4 linked regions of the Caenorhabditis elegans genome follow. The protein of the gene in region 1 interacts with the protein of each later gene in a pairwise test. Each region holds a gene or a part of one and is shown in the gene's direction. Other genes may lie near its edges. The genes, in order: gap-3, mek-5, pcf-11 and pafo-1.

What was found.
Region 2: the proteins of gap-3 (region 1) and mek-5 interact in a two-hybrid assay, tested with the Caenorhabditis elegans proteins (one large-scale study listed by BioGRID).
Region 3: the proteins of gap-3 (region 1) and pcf-11 interact in a two-hybrid assay, tested with the Caenorhabditis elegans proteins (one large-scale study listed by BioGRID).
Region 4: the proteins of gap-3 (region 1) and pafo-1 interact in a two-hybrid assay, tested with the Caenorhabditis elegans proteins (one large-scale study listed by BioGRID).

Annotation. Positions count from the first base shown.
Region 1 is NC_003279.8:2,007,483-2,012,160, reverse strand, and holds the start of gap-3 (SH2 domain-containing protein), read left to right. Parts: upstream 1-1,635; 5' UTR 1,636-1,681; coding exon 1,682-1,741; intron 1,742-1,903; coding exon 1,904-1,996; intron 1,997-2,062; coding exon 2,063-2,157; intron 2,158-2,201; coding exon 2,202-2,331; intron 2,332-3,390; coding exon 3,391-3,573; intron 3,574-4,594; coding exon 4,595-4,678.
Region 2 is NC_003279.8:6,800,321-6,805,403, forward strand, and holds mek-5 (mitogen-activated protein kinase kinase), read left to right. Parts: upstream 1-1,879; coding exon 1,880-2,092; intron 2,093-2,318; coding exon 2,319-2,638; intron 2,639-2,772; coding exon 2,773-2,875; intron 2,876-3,301; coding exon 3,302-3,574; intron 3,575-3,631; coding exon 3,632-3,720; intron 3,721-3,980; coding exon 3,981-4,139; intron 4,140-4,348; coding exon 4,349-4,475; 3' UTR 4,476-4,540; downstream 4,541-5,083. Other genes in the region: E02D9.1 (K Homology domain-containing protein), read left to right, coding at 104-529, 577-840, 953-1,194, 1,320-1,335; K02F2.5 (Conserved secreted protein), read right to left, coding at 4,747-4,881.
Region 3 is NC_003281.10:5,023,457-5,030,161, forward strand, and holds pcf-11 (Polyadenylation and cleavage factor homolog 11), read left to right. Parts: upstream 1-1,887; 5' UTR 1,888-1,951; coding exon 1,952-2,242; intron 2,243-2,926; coding exon 2,927-3,025; intron 3,026-3,106; coding exon 3,107-3,328; coding exon of another isoform or gene 3,329-3,574; intron 3,575-3,594; coding exon 3,595-3,656; intron 3,657-3,898; coding exon 3,899-4,126; intron 4,127-4,171; coding exon 4,172-4,749; intron 4,750-4,797; coding exon 4,798-5,117; intron 5,118-5,166; coding exon 5,167-5,739; intron 5,740-5,788; coding exon 5,789-5,887; 3' UTR 5,888-6,191; downstream 6,192-6,705. Other genes in the region: R144.13 (Coenzyme Q-binding protein COQ10 START domain-containing protein), read left to right, coding at 1-137, 198-260, 312-518.
Region 4 is NC_003283.11:11,519,860-11,523,931, forward strand, and holds pafo-1 (RNA polymerase II-associated factor 1 homolog), read left to right. Parts: upstream 1-1,843; 5' UTR 1,844-1,906; coding exon 1,907-1,947; intron 1,948-1,998; coding exon 1,999-2,100; intron 2,101-2,149; coding exon 2,150-2,276; intron 2,277-2,330; coding exon 2,331-2,591; intron 2,592-2,643; coding exon 2,644-3,253; intron 3,254-3,309; coding exon 3,310-3,446; 3' UTR 3,447-3,525; downstream 3,526-4,072. Other genes in the region: C55A6.7 (DeHydrogenases, Short chain), read right to left, coding at 1-298, 446-574; C55A6.11 (uncharacterized protein), read left to right, coding at 773-859, 1,097-1,522, 1,568-1,675. UniProt on the Caenorhabditis elegans protein: Component of the PAF1 complex which is a multifunctional complex involved in transcription initiation via genetic interactions with TATA-binding proteins, elongation and transcription-coupled histone modification.

The DNA of each region.
Region 1 (4,678 bases):
GGTTATATAACCGGTTATAAGAATTTAAAATTAAAATTCTTTTAGAAAAAAAAATATTGCAACAAAAAAAAAAAAAAAAACTTCCTCCGAGTAATAATAATTGGCAAAAAAAAAGAAAAAAAGAAGAAGCCCGGAGGAGCAGGAGCTGGTACTTGTCCCATTAATTTTCCTTTTTTTCTTCAAACAATAAAAAACAGCTGAATTTTACGGCAAAACTGCTCTAAAAATGTAAAATTTCATTGAAAAAGTAGGCGCAGCCAATACACCATGTGGTGTTTTGGCGCTGTCTCCACACGCAAGTAGTGCCAGGGGCTGTCCCAATACGGTTTGATCTACAAAAAATGCGGGAATTTTTCGCCCAAAAAAATGTGACGTCAGCACGTTCTTAACCATGCAAAATCAGTTGAAAACTATGCGTCTCTTCTCCCGCATTTTTTGTAGATCAACGTAGATCAAACCGAAATAAGAGACACTCTGACACCACGTGTACACGTTTAAACTTTTCCAGCTGTAAAAAATAAAATTTTCAAAAAAAAAACATAATTTTTAATCACATGTCTTGTTATCACTGTGTTATCTGTTATCACAACGACAATTTTTTTCACGAAAATTCTTTATTTTTAGGTATTACCCAAAATATTTGAATAAATTCCAAAACTTTCCGTGTTCTCCGTCCTCCATTTCCCACTTTCACAAATGGTCCATCATCCGAACTTCCGGTGCTCTCTCTCTCGCTGTACAAGAGACACAGAAAACCGAGAGAGAGACAGTGATTCGTGGTAGAGACGCAGACACATATACACACACACAGAAAAGTGATCTGGTGTCTGTGTGTGTGTGTGTATATTGTGAGAAAGAAGAAGAAGAAGACTGCGTGGGTGTAATAATATGCGTCCTTTTCTCCCCCCTTCTCTTTCGATTTCTTTTCTTCAACTTTTATCACTTTATTCACAACCTATTTCCTACCGTTTACCACCTTTTTTTTTGAGGAAACTTTGAATTTTTATTGAAATTGTTCAAGCTTGATTCCACGGAGTTGAAATCTACCAAATTCAAATTCCACTGCCTTCCCCGGGTTTTTTTTCCATTTCGATGGGTTTTTTAAAAAGGAATTAAAAAAAACGTTTTGTTTTCAAATTAAAAATTTAAAAAATAGACTGAAAATTAGCAAAACTGGGATTAATCCCACGGAGTTGAAATCTACGGAGTTCACTTTCCACTGCCTCCTCCGGATTTTGTATTTTTTAAACATTTTCTAGTACTTTTCGATGAAACTTTGCATTTTTTCACCTAAAATTAAAAAAAAAGTTTTCTAATTAGCTGAAAACGATAAAAATAAGAAAAAAAAAACATTTGCGGAGTTGATATCTATGGAATTCACATTCCAAAATCAGGCCAAGACAATTAAATATTGTTTTTTTTTAGCTTCCAGCGCAAATTTTCGAATTTCCAAACAAAATTTTGGTTTAAAACTCTAATTTTCTACCTGAAAATCAGGTTTTTTCATCGAAAATCATCGAAAATTAATTAAAATTCAAATTTCCCTCCATTTCCCCAGTACGTACACCGTCACGCAAAATTGCGTACCCGTCCGATTTTTCGCATTTTTTTGAATTTGTTTTCCTGTTTTTTGATGAAAATCAATAATTTTTTGGCATTTTTCAGGTGCAAATGAAAAGTTATGCACTCAAGCGAGAATACTACACCTAACAGCAGCACGGAAGGGCCATTGTTTCTAAAAGTGAGGGCGAAACAAGTGAAAATCGAGGAAAAAAAGGAAAAATTAGAAAAAATTAGAAAAATACCATTTATATTATTTATTTTCATCGAAAATCAATTATATTTACAGTTTAAAATATTCTAAAAAATCCTAAGTTAAAAAAAAGGAATTGTTTTTTCGCAGACTCACACGAACCCAACACCGCCTGATATATCGCCAAACGATGTGTGGTACCATGGGGAATTAAACGAACACGATGCCAATCATTTGCTTCAGGTTTCTTTTGCGAAAAATTACAAAAAAAATGGCAAAAAATGGCAAAAAACCGGCAAAACATTCCAGGGCACATCTCCCGGCGCGTTTTTGGTTCGGCAAACTGGCCAGACGAGATTTTATCTGTCGATATTGGATCAAGACGGCTATCCGAAACATTTACCGTTGGTTTTTAAACATAAAAATTTAAAATTCAAATTTTTTTCAGCATCCGCCAACTCACCCCACCTCACTACTTTTTCGAAGGAAAGCGTTTCGAGACCCTTCGAGATATTGTAGATGCCTATCAGCTGGCTGTGATTCCAGTTCGAAAAGGAGGAATTATGCCGATTAATGGGGTATTTTTTTGCCCCATTACGGTTTGATCTACAAAAAATGCGGGAATTTTTCGCCCAAAAACATGCCAAATCAGTTGAGAACTCTGCCGCATTTTTTGTAGATCAACTTTATTCAAGCCAAAATAAGACACTCTGACACCACGTGTGATACACCATATTTGACGCGCAAATTTTTGCATTATTGGATAATTTGTTGGATTTTAAAGTGATTTTTCAGAGAAAAAAAAGAAATTTATAATATTGCGCGTAAAATAGAGTGTCTTGAGTCTGTAATCGAGTAGATCAAATTTAACGCGCAAATTTAATTTAAAAAAACAATTAAATTACTCCATGTCTTACGAAAACACAAAATTCTGAGAATGTGTATCACACAACATATTTGACGCGCAAAATATCTCGTAGCGAAAACTACAGTAACCCTTTAATTGACTACTGTAGCGCTTGTGTCGATTTACGGAAGTCAATTATTAATCAATAAAATTAAATTTTAAAAGAAATCTCAAAAATGGCAAAAAAATACAATTCTCATTGGTTTTTTCGTTATTTTTTGCCATTTTTGTGTTTTCTTTTAAAATTTAATTTTATAGATTAATAAATGATTTCCGTAAATCGACGCAAGAGCGCTACAGTAATCATTTAAAGGGTTACTGTAGTTTTCGCTACGAGATATTTTGCGCGTCAAATATGTTGTGTAATACGCATTCTCAGAATTTAGTCTTCCCGTAATAATTTATAATTTGTGCGTCAAATATGACGAATTGGTCAGAATATCGATATACACGAATATAAAGTTTTGTAGAATTATCTGTAATAGTAGTAGTTTTTGCGCGTAAAATATGGTGTATTGAGTCCGTAATCGAGTAGATCAAATTTAACGCGCAAACATGTCCACGTGGTCTCATTTCGGTTTGATCTACTTAGATCTACAAAAAATGCGGCAGAGTTTTCAACTGATTTTGCAAAAAATTCCCGCATTTTTTGTAGATCAAAACGTAATGGGACAGTCGCTGGCACCCCGTGCATGCCGGAATTTTAATATACCATAAAATTTGTTTCCAGGAAATCCAAGAAACCAAGTACCTATGCGTTAGACGATTCGAACAACGCGAAATCGACGAAATGAACTCGGAAATCGGTGATATTCTGTCAGTTTGTGAGACCGACGAGACCGGATGGATGTTAGGACGAAATGAGACGAGCGGTTCCGTTGGAATTATTTTAAGATCACATTTGGAACCTTTGGTAGGGAAAAGTAGGAAAGACTGGAAATTTCTAACTGAAAATTTGAAAATTCTAGGAAAAAACTGATGAAAAATTACAATTTTTAAGCAAAAAAATGTTACGTTTTTTTTCACAATTTTCTACAAAAAATTTAAAAAATTAATTAAAAAAGGCGAAATTGTGCTAATATTACGGGAACACAAAATTCTGAGAATGCGTATTGCACAACATATTTGACGCGCAAAACATAAAAATATCTCGTAGCGAAAACTACAGTAACCCTTTAATTGACTACTGTAGCGCTTGTATCGATTTACGGAAGTCATTTATTAATCAATAAAATTAAATTTTAAAAGAAAACACAAAAATGGCAAAAAAAAATTACGAAATGTCATTTTTGAGTTTTCTTTTAAAATTTAATTTTATTGATTAATAAATGATTTCCGTAAATTGACACAAGCGCTACAGTAGTCAATTAAAGGGTTACTGTAGTTTTCGCTAAGAGATATTTTTATGTTTTGCGCGTCAAATATGTTGTGCAATACGCATTTTCAGAATTTTGTGTTCCCGTAATATCTAATGTAGGCTTTGGCGTACCAAATACACTTATTTTGGTACAAAATCGCGGCGAGACCCATTTATAAATTGCCTACCTAATGCCTGCCTGCTGAAAAAAAAAACAAAAAAATTTTTTTTTTTTGGTCCAAGCTGGATTTCTCCAATTTATTAACACTATTTGAGAAAATCGATAAATCTCGATTTTCGGGGGCAGAAAAATCAATAAATTAACACTATTCAAGAAAATCAATAATTTGCCAAATTTTTGGAAAATTCGATAATTCACGTGGTGTCAGATTGTCCCATTACGGTTTGATCTACAAAAAATGCGGGAATTTTTTTTCCAAAAAAATGTGGCTTCTTCAGCACGCTCTTAACCATGCGAAATCAGTTGAGAGCTCTGCCGCTTTTTTTTGTAGATCAGCGTAGATCAAGAGACACTCTACAACACCGCGTGAAATTCTCAGATTCCGTGCTTTTACAGATCACAGAGGTGGCCGATTTGTCGGATCTACCGTACTTCTACGATACAGTATCCACGGACATGGTGCAATACAGCCCCATTGGC
Region 2 (5,083 bases), 4.8 Mb from region 1:
GCTTGTCTGTTAATTTGTTTGTTTCTGCTGCAATCTTTTCAACTGTCTAACGCCTACTATTCCAGAGCTTCTCTCTTTGATTTCTTGACAACTCACAGTCATAATGGACCCATATCAACAAGGAGGCCGTGGCGGTGGATTCCCAGCACGTGGAGGTCGTGGCGGAGGTCATGGTGGAGGATATCCACAAGAAGGTTATGGTGCCGCTGCTGGTGGCTACGGTGGATACGATCCATACAATCCATATGGAGCCGCTGGTGGATATGGAATGTATCCAGGTCAAGGATACCCACCACAAGAAATGACTTCACCTTTGGATGCCGAGATTCAGGCAGTTTTACGAGAAATTCATTTGGAAGTAACTGGACTGGAAACCTCGGGTGATCAGTTTAGAAATGCCCGACGACTCTTAAACTCCGAGAAAGAACGTTTGGAGAACAATATTGATCCAGAATGGCTCGAAGTTGATGTGGCCAAGCCAGTTAAGGTTTGCAAGAAGATTCTTGTTCCGATTTACCGTCATCCAAACGTGGGTTATAGTTTACATTTTATCTTTTACAAAATTCAATTTTCCAGTTCAACTTCATCGGTAAAGTTCTTGGACCGAAGGGAGCAACTCTCCAAACGCTATGCAAGACCCACAAATGTCATATTTACATTTTGGGACGTGGATCCACCAAGGATCGTGAGAAGGAGGCTGAGCTTTTGGCATCTGGAGATCCACAACACGCTCATTTCAGTGGGCCCCTTCACGTAAAGGTTGAAACTGTTGCTCCAGCATACATTGCCTACGGACGTGTCGCTGCGGTAATTGAGGAGTTGTCAAGAATTTTGCAACCGGTAAGGAAAATAGTTTTCAGATATTGTCATTTCATTTTTGGTTTTTTGTTGTTGCATGTGTCATCCACCTTTTTACTAACAGAAATATCCAAAGTGTCGTTATTTTTTTCAGATTCATGAAGATACAACTCCGGCTCATTTGAAAAACGGCTCCGGAGATGGTGAAGAAAAGGAAGACGAAGAAAAGAAAGAAGGCGGAGAAGGTGGTGGAAGAGGTGGACGCGGTGGGCGTGGAGGATTTAGAGGAGGCTTCCGTGGAGGACGTGGAGGATTCGGTGGACCTGGTGGACCAATGGGAGGAAGAGGTGGAATGGGAGGAATGGGTGGACGAGGAAGAGGAGGCCAAGCTGCTGGGTATGCATTCTAAAATATAAATTAGTTATAAAAAATAAAATTTACAAAAATTATTAAAACCAAATTTCCAAAAATTAATTCTAAAAATTTTAATAAAATATATAAATACATGAAAACATTTGCAGATTCCGACCATACTAAAAACCCCAAAAATTCACCAAACGCTCCAAATCTGTCCAAAAATACAATTCTCAAATATTCAACCATCCTAATCAAAAAATATTCAATATTAATGGAAACTATGCCCGAAAAACGTTTTGTTTCCTTTTTATCTTATATTTATTTTTCTTGTTTCTCTCTCTCTCTCTCTCTGCTCTTTTCTTTTTAAAATGGATCTCCATTCCTTTCTTGATTTGATCCATGATCATATCTAATTTGATAATTTATTTTGTTGATATCTTCCAAAAAGTTTTCAAATAATTTAATCAAACGTTGAAATAAAATATGTTATTCGGGAAAATGCGTGATTGCTACTAAATTATGAATATAATTGCAGAAAACTACTATAAAAGTCGCGTGAATTTGCATAAGTAATTTGTTAAGGAAAAATGAAAAAAATACCTGAAAATGGGTGGGGAAAGGAATTCGGAAGTTATTTTCTCTGGAAATTTCTGAAATTCCTACAAAAATGTTAGAATTTTTAATGAATAAGATACCAAAAATGTCTTGAATTTTCCGCCTACATATGCTCACCGAGCCCATCCTCTTTACAAAAGATAAGAGCCTCCAAAGAGCAAATAAGATAACGAAAAAACATTTTCACTTTCTTTTTCTTTCTATTTCTCTCCAAGCAATTGTTTCGGTTCATTTTTCTATAATGTCTGGAATTCGAACATTTCTTGTCTATTTCGAGTTGGAAAAATGTATTGGAGAACTGGCAGAGCCCAGATGTTTACAGGTTAATTGGATTTTTAATTAAAAAAAATTTAAATATCTTTGATGCCACAAATCTGAAAAATACTAAATTGTTCAACTTTGGAAATGTATTTTTCTCGTTTTTTCGAACTTCTTACAAATTTTGAGTAACTCAAGATCTGAGCACGATATTTAAAAAAATTAATTTAATATTTGTGGCACGCTTTCGAACATTTATTGAGAAACAGTGCAAATTTTATGTTTTCCAGCTTCCTGAGCATTTGTGGCGATTTTGGGATATTCTCATTGCCGAATTGAAGTCTGAAATTCCAGAAATTCGGAATAATTTCAAATTAAAATATAACGACGTTGACGGCGCGATATTAAAAGTTCGCGGAGCTGATGACTTTGAAAAATTCTCGGAGAGACTGGAAAATACCGATGAGAACGAGGAAATTGTATTAATACTCGAAAATATTTCGTCAAAAAATGATGAATCTTCTGGAAACTCTCAAAACGTTAGAATATTTCCATCAGAATTGCAACGTGGCAAATATGTGGGCAACGGAATGCATGCAACAGTGAGAATGTGAGATCCCATAATGACAACTTGACATTACTTTTATGCCAATTTTTCTTTTGAATTAGTGTAATACTTCGGAAAAAAGGCTATAAAGTAGTGCGAAACAGGAAACTGTATTGACGAATTTTTTTTGAATTTAGGGCACTTCACGAAAAAACACAAAAATGGTATGTAATCAAGACGATTTTGTCACAAAATACCGATAAAACGGAATATGAGAAAGAAATTCTCGCGTATGAAGAGGTAACATGATTTTTATTAAGATTTTCAACTAGTAAACGTTTTTAAAATAATTTTTTGCACACTTGGACAGATATTTTCTCTTAAAGCTTATTAAATATTTAAATATGAGAAAATTTTTTTAAACTGAAAATTCAAATGTGTATCGGATGGTAAATCTCATAAACGAAGCTGTGATACGATAACAGGTAAGGTTTTGAATTTTTAAAAGAAATGTTTCTGTTTTCAAATTTTATAAACTTGAGCAATAAATACATTTTGGTTCAAAAATAATTTTCCGAAAATTGATAAAACCTATTTATGATTTTCTATTTTTATTATTCTCAAACAATTATCGATGATTTTTAAAGTGAACAAATGTGAAAAATTGTAGAAAACATTTTGAAAATTATTTCAGATAAATTCAGTTTTATATCTAAATAATTTCAGTGTTCACAATCCGATTACGTAGTTGGTTATCATGGTTGTGAAGTGAGCAGTATAAAGAAAGAACTTGTGCTTGAATATATGGATAAAGGAGATTTTCGACCATTTGGTATTCTACCGTTTTCTGTTCATCAAAGTGTTGCACTTTCACTTATTCGTGCAATTCGACATGTTTGGAATAGTGGACCGGGTTATATTCATCGTGATATAAAACCGGAGAATATTCTTGTAAATTCACAAGGATATGTCAAGATTTGTGATTTTGGAGCAGCTAAGGTGAGCATTAGTTAATTTTTATTTTTGATTTAAACTCGTATTGAACTGTATTTCCAGAGAATTGACAATACATACAGGATAGCATCATCGGCAGCAGGTACACAAATGTATCAAGCACCTGAACAACAGATGGGACAAGATTATAGGTACGAATTTTTTCAGATTAGTTTCCTCTATTTTCCATCAATAGAGCATGTTCAAACATTTTATCTGTTGACGCAATATTTTCATTTCTTATAAAAGTTGGTATTTAGATAGATTAGCTATGACTAATGTGGTTAAAACGTTAAGTGTTAATCCAGCTTTAAGCAGCTAATAACAGGATCTCTAAAGCATATATGAATATTGCACATTGGAATATTTTCTTAAATTTAATTTTAACACTAATCACGAAATAAATTTTTAGCGAAAAAGTCGATATTTGGTGTTTCGGGCTCACACTTTGGGAATTTGCTATCGGTCCGAATCTGGAAGAATATCTCAATGGATTGTCATCTTATGAAGAGATTACTGTAGAACCGATTGATGGTTTTCCAGAGTCATTGGCTGTTCTTATATCTAATTGGTATGCTTTTTCAAGTTTATTTGTCTTGGTTTAAAAAAAAACATGTCTAGCCTCTATTCACATACCAATTTTGTCAAAATGTTTTTCCTGGTTCCAAAAACTAGCTGTTCTTTTTATTTTATTGCACTTTCGACGAGTTTTTATTATTTGTTAGTTGAAAGTTCTGTAGTTGAATGCCATTTAATGCAAATAATTTGAAATATTTTCAGTCTTCGTCGTCAACCATCGGCTCGTTGGAATGCTGATCAAATTGAACAAAGTGATTATCTACGAGATCTTCCTGAACCGAATCGTCAAAGTGTTGCTAATTTTGTGAATAACTATTACCAACGGTAGAAAACAGTTTATTTTGTTTAAGTTCACTCTCTTCTACAAAATAAAAAATTTTTGGATCAAAAAAAGTATTTGGACGAACGGTTGGTGGGATTTTTTGGTGGAAGGATGGACTGAAAATTCGGGGAAAAAGGACAGGAAAAGTTGAGGAAAACCGTTGAAAATGTGTGAGAAATTGTGTGCGAGAAATGAATGGTGTTTTAGTCAACCGGGAAGATGAGAGCCAGCGAGGAATATTTTTAGAATTAAAATTATGATTTAGAGCTAATTATTCTTAAAAGAATCTCAATCGTCTAGTGGCTCTTTCATTAAGAATTGTTGCAATTTCTGCTATCCTTTGACGTAGTTCAATTTCATCTTGTTCTTCTGCAGCGGCTTCGATAAGTGCTTCTTCTGGCACAAAGATTACCTGAAAGTTTTAAATATAGATTCAGATATTACGGAAACAAAAATTTTTCGAATTTCGAAAGTCGACACGGTCGCTAGTCGTTTAATGAATTACTGCAGTTTTCGCTACGAGATATTTTGCGCAATACGCAGTCTCAGAATTTTGTGTTCCAGTATATCAGTTTTGTAGCCCAATTTTTCCAAAACCTAGTTAAATTATTCTA
Region 3 (6,705 bases), on another chromosome or scaffold:
TTGTTCCATGGTGTCGGTCGTCTACAGTAACCCACGAGCACGAAAGCTCACAGATTGCGACGCTGGAAATTGGGTTTCCACCACTTTCAGAGAAATATTCGAGTCGTGTGATTCACATTAAGCCATCTGTTGTTCATGTTAGTTTATTCAAAGATTTCTAAGAAGGTTTCGGTTTTCGATATTCTATGTGTTTACAGTCTGTCGTCATAGAAAATGATAATCTCTTCCGCACACTTGACACTACGTTCCGGTTTGGAAAAGTTCGTTCCATCAATTTTTGTTAAACCTCTATTAACGTTCACCTTTTTCAGGGAAAACCATCTGTTGAACGCTCATGTACTCTTCACTATGACTTAGTTTTTGAATTCGAGTCAGCTTTTCACTCAAGAATCGCTCATCTTTTCTTCGATAAAGTCGTAAAAACTATGGTTTCAGCATTTTTGCACCGCGCTGAAAAGCTTTATGGACCACCGGAATTCCCACACTCACCACCGCAGGTTTTACAGTACAAATCTTGATTTTTTTAAACTTAGTGACACTGTAATCAGAGTATTTATTTGTAAATTTTAAATTTTTTTTTCTTGCTTCTTAAATAAAAATGTAGATTCAAACTTTTATGTTCTAATTGAATAAAAACTAGCCGTTTCAGCATCGGTATCCTTATTTTTCACTATTTTTCTCAATATTTTTCTGCGGTAGCGAAACACCGATGTCCCGTTTTCTTCGCAAAATTTCGAATCATTGGGCTTCGCTTCTTCGCTCTTGTCCCGTTCTTCTTTCGTTTGCATCTTTTTTTCAACTCTCACTTTCAAATTAATATGGATTAAAACTCGTTTCGATTAAAATCTTGAAGCGAGTTCATCCGAATTTGTACAAATAATTGTATTGAACATTTAAAGACACATTCCTTATCTAAAAGCGACGTACCATGCTTTTTGAAGTCAATTAATTTTTCGGGAATTGCTCTTTAATATAATTTCTCATACTTAAAAAAATTCCTCACTATCAGAACAAGTAAAAACCTCCTGGCTCCCGTCAGCCGTTTCACAGCAAGAATCAATTGCTGGCAGCTACGAAAATGTTCTCTGCGCCTCTTCACACTCACCCGGTCGCTGCGAGACCCGCGCAAAATCGATTGACACGCCTCTACCACGCGCTTTTGTCTCTCTTGCCTGTTTTCTGTCTCTTTCGTTCATTTCTCCCAGTTTTCTTCAAATATAACGCCGTTTCTTTGCAATTTTCTCTATATGTGCTTTTGCTAACTGATTTTGTCATCTTATTTTAATTAAAATTACTTGCTAATACACATAATTCTTGTACATGTTCCCCTCCATCATCTCCTTTTACCAATTTCCTTCATTCCATCCACAATCTCTCTCTCTCTCTGTTTTTACCTCCTCGTTTCTTGTTGCGTTTATTGATCCATTTTTTCACGTCACTAATCAATATTTTCCAGATACGCCGGACTCGACTCGAAAGACAGCGCGCAGACTGTTTGGTGCGAGAAGAGGCGGACCTCAGACGGTGTGCAGTCACCCTTTAAAAAATATACATTCCCTTCCCATTCCCCTATCCCCCTTCCTTTTATGATTTTGTCCTCATTTTCTCTAAAAAATAATAAAAATATATGGAAAGTCACTTTGTCAGCTAGACTTTGGGTTTCTTGACTACTCTTCAGTTGCGATTAGCATAATATTCGCGCTTGTTGTATCAAGCTGTTGGCTCGCCTGCGCGTTTGGAGCATCACAACTTCCTGTATGTTCGTGCGGAAGTTTTGAAGCTGCCCGCCGTTATTTAGTTTTTGCTCGGGACGGTGCTATAATCTCGTTGACTTCTCCCGTTGTATTTTTCACGCAGTTTTTATTTTTCAAAAATAATTAATTTCAGCACGTGAAAACGAATATCCGGGTTATTTTATTCACCTTCGTAAATATCACAATCAATATTCATGATGGAATCGGTCGAATCGGCAGCACGAGACTATCGTGAGACGTTGGCCGAATTGAGAAACAACAACAAGACTCAAATAAATCTGCTAACTATTCTGGCTGACGACTTCAAAAAAGCAGCTCCACAAATTGTTGAAGTTATTGAGCGGCATCTGACAACGTGTTCTCCTTCACAAAAACTGTTAGTGATGTACGTGTGTGATTCGATTTTGAAGAACGTTAAGAAGCCGAACGATTATGATGCACTGTTTGCAAGGAAAATCGTAAGCATGTTCGAGCATGCTTTCCGACAGGTAATATATCAAAATTAAAAAACATCGGTCTGTCTAATCTAAGCCTTCCATGAGGGTGAGTTTTTACCCTCCCTACCCTACCCTCTGCCCTACCCTACCCTACCCTATGCCCTGGTTTTACCCTGTATTAATTCATTTTTAACGTTTTCTTAGAAATTTCATTTCTAAAAACGAAAATTTTACAAATAAAGCGAATAATGCTTAAAATTCGTATTATTACGTGAAGGCATAGGGTAATGTGTCCATAAAATACCCTGTTCGGGTAAAGGGTAAAAAAGGGTATCAACGTGCCCTACCTTTTTTTTACCCTCACGGAAGGCTTAGTCTAATCTAGCAAAGCACGCAAAAATGCAATCCAACAACGTTTCGCCAGCTTTCATTGCGGTAGTTAACAGATTTTTCGCGCGCCTTTTTGGATCTAGAAGATAAGGTCAAAACTTTCTCAGCTACAGACCGGGTCTTGTCGCGATTGAGTACCGTAGTTTTCCACAAAATGTCCTGAGAAGTTAAAACGTTTTGTTTCCAATTTCGGTGTAAAACTTTTTCCTGCTACTTCGCACGACATTTTAGCGCGTATAGCTGAGAAATTTAAATGAAGTTTCGCAAAAAATATCTACAAAGTATGTCACGTTAATTTCGCTTGCAATTATTTTTCGAAATCATTTTGAATTCTAAACATTTCAGGGAGATGAAAGAATCCGTACATCGTTGTACAGGATACGAGTCACATGGGCCAGCACCACATTGTTCATGCCTTCAAAGTTATATGAGCTTGACATGAAGGTAAACTTTCAATTTCAGATCCTGAAATCGAGCTACGATTTCGCAATATCATTGCTAATGATATTAATATTTGTATTTCAGATCAATAAGCTTGACCCAAATTGGCCAATTTCAAATCCACAGACTGGTCGTGCACTTCGTGATGATCCACAAGTTATGGCTCCTTCTCAGAGTAGACCAGCAGGCAATGCCACCAGTCCAGCGGCTTCCACGTCAACGAATCGTGTATTTGTGAACCCAAAGTTCATAGGTTCATCCACACCTGGTGCAGCATCAGCATCAAAGACGGTCGTGGAAAAAACGGTAAAATATTCTTGTGAACTTTTATTTTCACACGTTTTTCAATGTATCACTTTCTATGTTTTGTCTTTATTTTTCCACATATCATCTGATCGTTTATTTATTATGAAAAAAAAAGAAATGCTTTATCTATCATTTTTCACCGGAATCATGGAAGTTGAGAAAATAAGCGACAGAATTGGCAAAAAACACAATATTCTTCGTCACTGTTCAAATAAATTATTTCCAATTGGGTGGGATATTTGTTGAAACCGCTTATGTTATTACAGAAATCACCTGGCACAGTAAACAAGGAAAAGCAAGTGAAGAAAGAACCAAAACAGGATCCACTGTAAGTTTAATGTCTTAGGCGTGTCTTGGTGTTACAATTTGGTATGTAATGAGAAGAATCGATGTTTTAATTTTGAAAAAAAGTAATTCAGAAACAAAATGAATGAAAAAAAAAATAAAATAAATCTGTGTGAAAGTGTAACATTGAATAAAATTTCACAGTAATTTTGTCATGATCAGCTAGTCCGAAATAACACGCTTAAAAGATTAGTTTTATTTCAGTTAACAAAACATTTTTTCCAGTGACAAACTACTTCCATCAAGCTCTGCATCCAAGACATCATCATCACCGGCTGGATTGAAGCGAAAATCAGCACCATCCGAGCATCCAAATGCTCCGATTCGCAAGAAGCCACAACAACCACCAAAGCCACAGACAGCCATTGATGAGGATCTCAGATCTATAAGCTTGACGAAGAAGCCGCCAGTTCCATCAGCACAAGATCAAGATTTCCGACCAAAGACTTTGAAGTGAGTATTTAGTCTAAACTGTTTTAAAAATCGAAAATTTTGCAGGCCAACATCAGTGATAGGATCTCACGCATTTGCCCCTGTAGCTGCTCCGATCCGTCCTATGATACCTGTGCCACCACCTGTTTCAGTGGCTCCATTTGTGCCTGCTCCGCCACTTTCGTCTGCTCCTCCATTCCAACATCCTCAACAACATCATCCACAACTTCCACCTCCACCAGTTCATCAAGGAATGGGAAGAGGATATCATCATAATTCGCCTCCACAAGATCCGGCACCAATCGTTCCAGTTCAAGCTCCACCTCCACAGCAACACCTTCCAGCTCCAGAGAACGTTTACTCGTCAGAACAACCGAAACTCGATGTTCCAGCCAACAACCGTATCTTTGTCGATGGAAAAGCTTATGAAGTGATGTTTGTCGATGATACTGCAGTTATCGAGCGTGGTGGTGCTCCACATCGTATTTATTTCGCTGGACCGCCAAGAAACCTCGTAATTGATGGAATCCCACACTTGCTTCAGTTTGACACTCCAACTCAAATTGACATATTAGGATCAAAGCATATGGTCAAGTTCGGAGCACCATCCCGCGAACTTTACATTGGTGGTCACCCATTCAAAGGTAAATACACATATTTTCACAGTTTTTAATTCATATTCGAACTTTCAGGTCAATTTGGAGGACCACCGATCATTGCAACGATCAATGGACGTCGTCATGAGATCCGATTGACTGGAAGTGCTCCAGAAGTTCGCATTGAGCCTGAGCCAGCATATCATCTTACTCATTTCTTGCACAAAATGCGCGAGGAGAAGAAGATTGAAATTGCATCGGAGAAGCCGGAGAAGAAGGAGGATTGGCTCTCATATCTGAAAAATTTGAGAACTCGTAATATATTGCCAGCTCCGGCCAGATCGCCATCTTCGCCACGCAACCAGACTCCACCACCAGCTAATCTTCCAATTCCGGGAATGAATAATGCTGGACAGGTAATTAACTATCAGGATTACAGTCTCTTAAATAATTTATTGTTTTCAGAGAGGAGGTTATCATAACCGTCATCAACCACAACAGAACGCTAGATGGGGTGGAGCGAATAAACAGCAGAATATACCACCACCACCATCTGATCCATCTCCAATTGGAAGTGGTGTTGAGAAGCGAAGTGCTCCACCGGCGGCCATCACAGATTTCAATATTCGTCTCTTGCAAATTCGTTACGACTCGGTCGTTGACGCGTTGATTACCAAGAGAGCCGACGCTTGCAAGTTTTGTGGAATGAGATTAGATGATTCTCAAGGAAAGTCAAAAGAATGGCAAGATCATATGGATTGGCATGTGAAGCAAAATTTGGCACGCCACGGGTCGAACAATTCGGCAGCTGTACCATATCGTCAGTGGTATCCATCGACATCCACTTGGCTTACACCACGTGCATCTGATGAAACGAATGAGCAAGAAGCTGATAAACCCGAGGAACCACTTCCAGGAGTAGCATCTTCCGGTGTTAAAACCAAAGAATGTTCAGTTTGTGGTGAGAAGTTTGACGAGTATTATGATGATGACGAGGAAACGTGGCGATTAAGGGACACAGTTAATGTTCACGGAAAGGTGAAAATTTGTTATTCAAAACTCGTGAATTTATCAAGATTCATTACAGATTGTGCATTCTGCGTGTGCTTCCGACGCAGCTCGATCACTCGACAACTCATCATTCTTCAACGACAGTGACATCAAAAAAGAGGAGCCGTTCGACTGAACATAATTGTTTTTTTATTGAGCCTTTTTGATGGGCATTGTCTAGTCATTGAAAATATTAACAGAAATTATAAAATTCACCAAAAAATTCATTAAAGCATTTTTCCATATGCTTTAAAATTTTCAAGCATACCAAAGTTTTCCTGTTTTCTTGTTTCGTTATGGGTTTTTTAGTTTTCATTTAGCTTACACCCCCCCCCCCCCCCCCCCCCCCCCAACGTCCCAGACAATTTCAACAAATCTTGGTTGTGATTCCGTTTCAAAACCTCACCTATACATTTTCTATAAATAAAGCAAATTATTTTTAAAAATACCTTTTATATATATTTTTCCTTTTCCACCCTCCAATTTATCACATTGAAAATAAAAATCATAAAACCCCCGTTTTTCAGAGTCGACGACTTCAATAATTTTTATTTGCTTTTTTAAAATTATTTTTTCGTTTTGTTTTTTTGGTCGAATAAATCTATTAAAATGGGAAATATAATTGTTTTTGTTCACATAACGAGAATTTCAGAGATGTAGGTTCTGGTCAATTCCGTAAATCACTGACACTCCAAAGTTATGAAATGCCGCAAAGACTACTGTAGGCAGTATCAATTGAATCAATTGTTAGAAACCTGTTTCGAGAAGTTTTGGAATATTCGTATTTCAACATTTTATTGGCTCTAAATTGTTCAAAAATCTCAAATTTTGGAAAGTTTGGTAAGTTGCCAAAATGACTAGATACTTTTAAATATCTAACACGTTTTGGAGTTTGCTACGATATTCGGGTTTTTTGGATAATTATATTCATAAGTAAAAAATCGGATAAATGCT
Region 4 (4,072 bases), on another chromosome or scaffold:
AAACGGAAAGTGTATCGCCTTCCTGTCGTTTCGAAGCTTTGATTATGAGTGGTACAAGGCTTTGTGTAAGCATCATTGGACCAATTGTATTTGACTCAAACAAATCCAGAACAACTTTTCGATCAGGTTTTTGTTTTGTTACATATGGAAGCATCACAGCTGCATTATTTATAAGAAGAGTTAATCCAGATTCTCCAACAATTTCAGACACTTTTTCAGCAAAATTTGCAATTGATTCATCGGATCCGAGTGAGAGTTGAAGAATGTGAAGTCGTGGATCACAAATTCCCTTGAGAGCCTGAAAAATTGGAAATTAAGAATGCCGTAGTCCAATACATGTTGTTGGGAAATTTTTACCATATACAAATATTAGGAACACAAACCTAATACAAATAACTATAATCTCAGCAACGGATAAAGTATAAATAAACTCGAAAAAACTTACAGTTGCCTTATCAACATCTCTTGCAGTCGCAATGACATGCTGAACATTTGGATCTTTCAGAAATTGTTGAACTAATCCAAATCCCAATCCTCGATTGGATCCGGTTACCACAACTGATTTTGGAGACATTTTCACTAGAATTTAAGCATAGAATTGAATTAACAGAAATCGAAAATCAATGAATGATGATTATTATTTCTTATCAATAGTATTTCTCTTCTGTTCTGCAAAATAAACAGCGTGATGAACTGCCACAATAATTAGTTTGGTTTATTGCAGTTTTTAGTTTATTTCGGAATTTCTGAGAAGAGATCAAAGAATTAGACAATGAAGAAAACTATGATAATTTCGATTTTGGTTAATACAGTTTTGCTCTTCAATCAAGTGTTGGTTGCGAACGGGGAAAATGTGAATGTAGGTTTACACAGGAGATGTTATAAAGGACTTTCCTTGGTTCTATTCCTGAGCTTTTCCAGTTGTCCCTGGGAAATTTTCTTTCAAATATTTTTAATGAAAGAGAAACGATAGACAAAAAAAGATAGACAAAAAACTAGGCGCAATTTGTTTTGCTATTGTTATGTTTTTGTAGGTTATGAGCAATTTCAAAATAAGATCTTTCTAGAAAATTGTAAAAATATTATTTCATTCAAGGTATCCTGCCCAATTTTATCCCGAACTCGACACAAAGAACTTCGAACTTTCATGTACAAAAACTGCACTTCCGGTTTCAAGACATGCTTTCAACAAATTATGCTCACTGAAATCGTTCGAAATGAGCAACACGCATTTCTATTTGCCTCTGGTTGTGCTTCGAAGGAAATTCTCAAGCCATTCAATCTAACCGAGGAAACATTCATGAAGTTATGTGACAAGAAAAAAGTGGGACGATGTGTTCATACATACCAGCATCGAGTTTATTATGGTACACTCTGCTGTGAAAGGAATTCGGAAAAAATGTTCGGATCTTGGCTGTGGGATGTTTTCTTTGGAAGTAGTGAAGAGCTAAATGCTGAAATGGAGAATACTGTTAGCTTTGTTCAGCGTGAAAGTATCGGAATGCACGATGATCATGATAATGTAGGCTTTAAAAGTTCACAACCCCACATTTATATAATTTTCCAGAAAGGAGCATTGGCTCTCTACATTGCTGGACCATTCATTGTCACCTTTATATTTACATTATTGTCCCTTTTACAATATTATCATGTTAATGATGGCATTTTGTCATAAAATAAATATTATCGTGACGAGAACGCTGGAAATTCACAAAACAAAAAATACTTTTTGAACACCCGCGCAAAACTGGTTATGCGCCATTGTTCCCTGCTGACGCGCATTGAGCGCTTGCGCAAAACCCGTGTGTGAGAGTTTGAATTTAATTCCCTCGGTGACTAGTTTTTTCGATTTGCAGCCGTTTCTGCCGATTGGTATCTTAATATTATAACTAAATTACTATAAAAAATGCCCCAAGAATCCTCAGATGCCAAAAGGATTGAACCTCCGTAAGTATTATTGTTTTGAATCGCTAGAAAAGTTTTGAAAACATTTTGCAGACGAAAAGTGGATTTCATGCTGAAACCTCGATTTACCAATACTGTTCCTGATGTCCCATTTGATGCAAAGTTTATGACTTGTCCATTTGTTCCTCTGGGAAGGTACACCAATTTTGAAACGTTTGACATTGTTCAATATCTCTGAATTTAGATTTGTCGAATTCCAACCTGCTGCCATTTATCGAGATTACAAGCATGCAGTCATTTGTGACGACGACATGGGTTTGAATGTCGATTTGATTGATCTAAAAAAATACGACGAAGATCCAATCGAAACTGTAGGTTTTTTCCTGAAATATACAGTTTCAAAGATAGAAATGTTTCACTTTTAGGAAATTGATGAGAAAGACAATATTTTACTGGAAGATGATGGCGCCGCTAAATTGATTGCAAAACGATCTCAACAGCATTCTAAACTTGTTCCATGGATGAGAAAAACCGAGTACATTTCAACTGAATTCAATCGGTTCGGTGTGACAGCCGATAGACAGGAGACGAAGCTTGGTTATAACTTGAAGAAAAATCAACAAGTTGAAGATATGTATCGTGACAAGCAGAGTCAAATTGATGCCATTAACAAGACATTTGAAGATGTAAGTACCAGAATATATTTTTTTGATTTAAATCTACTTTTGCGTATTTTAGGTTCGTAAACCCGTCAAGGAGCATTACTCCAAGAAGGGTGTAAAAGCTGTTGAAGAAAGCTTTGTCTTCCCTGATTTCGATCACTGGAAACACCTCTTTGCTCATGTACAATTTGATGGAGACACTATAACAACAGAATTCGAAGAAGAAGATGAACGACAACAAGCACGGGAGAGCAGTGTTATTAAAGCCATGGAATTCGAAGATCAAAAATTTGCAGCAGTTTTTGTTCCAACGATTGGATGTCTTACGAGTTTTATGGATGATCTTGAGTTAGAACGACCATTTGATGAGGATATGAAGTACGAATTCTTGCTAAGCCGTGAATACACATTTAAAATGGAACACTTGCCACCAAGGGATCGTGACGTCTTCATTATGTATCATCGTAATAACGTTTTCCAGTACAACGAAGTTGACTGTAATGTCAAGATGACAAGAAAACCAAAAATGGCATTGAGCAGAAAATCCAAATTGACACTCACATACCGAAATCCTTCCGAACTGGAACAAAAAGACATGAATAAAAGAGAGGCTGAGTTATACGAACAGCCAAAGACCAGAAAACAAGAGATTCTGGAAAAGATTCAAGAGAAGAAAGAAGAAGGTGGTGAGTAAATTTAAGTTTTGAAGTGTTATTTTCCACGCGAACATGCAATTTTTCAGGAGACAGTTCAGATCAGAGCAGTGATTCTGATGACGACAAGCCGCAGAAATCACGATCTGATAGCTCTTCGGACGTTTCATCAGATGACGATTCACCACGGAAAAAGGAACCGACTGTTGACAGCGACAGTGATTGATCTCAAATTTTTAAAATTGTTTTTCTATTTATTTTACCTAATCAAATTGGTTTTTCTCAGTAAACTTGATAACGATTTCAACTATTTGTTCGATTGATCTTCATGAATCTTCGCTAAAAGTGCAAGTATGATTTGACTCACAATTGAAGAAAAAACCAACAGCGGAAACACCAACACCCGCAAAGTTCTGTTTGTGTAGGTGTCTGTTGCTTGCGCTTATGTGCTCCACGTTCTATTCTTTGATTTGTCATGCGGAAGCAACAGGATCAGAGGGCAAGACGTTTAGTTTTGGGGGAAATTCGAACTACCGTTCTGATTGGAATGCGTATTGCGAAACATTGAATATATCCCGTAGCGAAAACTACAGTAATTCTTTAAATGACTACTGTAGCAATAGATTTTCGAAACTACAGTGCATTTTTTTTCCACTTCTACGACTTTAAAGGCGCGCGTATTTATACAAAATGGTCCCGTCATTGGTCTCGCCACGCGCTCAACAAATCAAAGGGATGCGCGTGGCGAGACCATTGCGCGAAAATGCGCGCGCCTTTAAAGTCGTAGAAGTTGTAAAAAAAGCACTGTATTCCAAAAGAAATTCATTTCAAAATTCCAGCCCGTAAATCGAC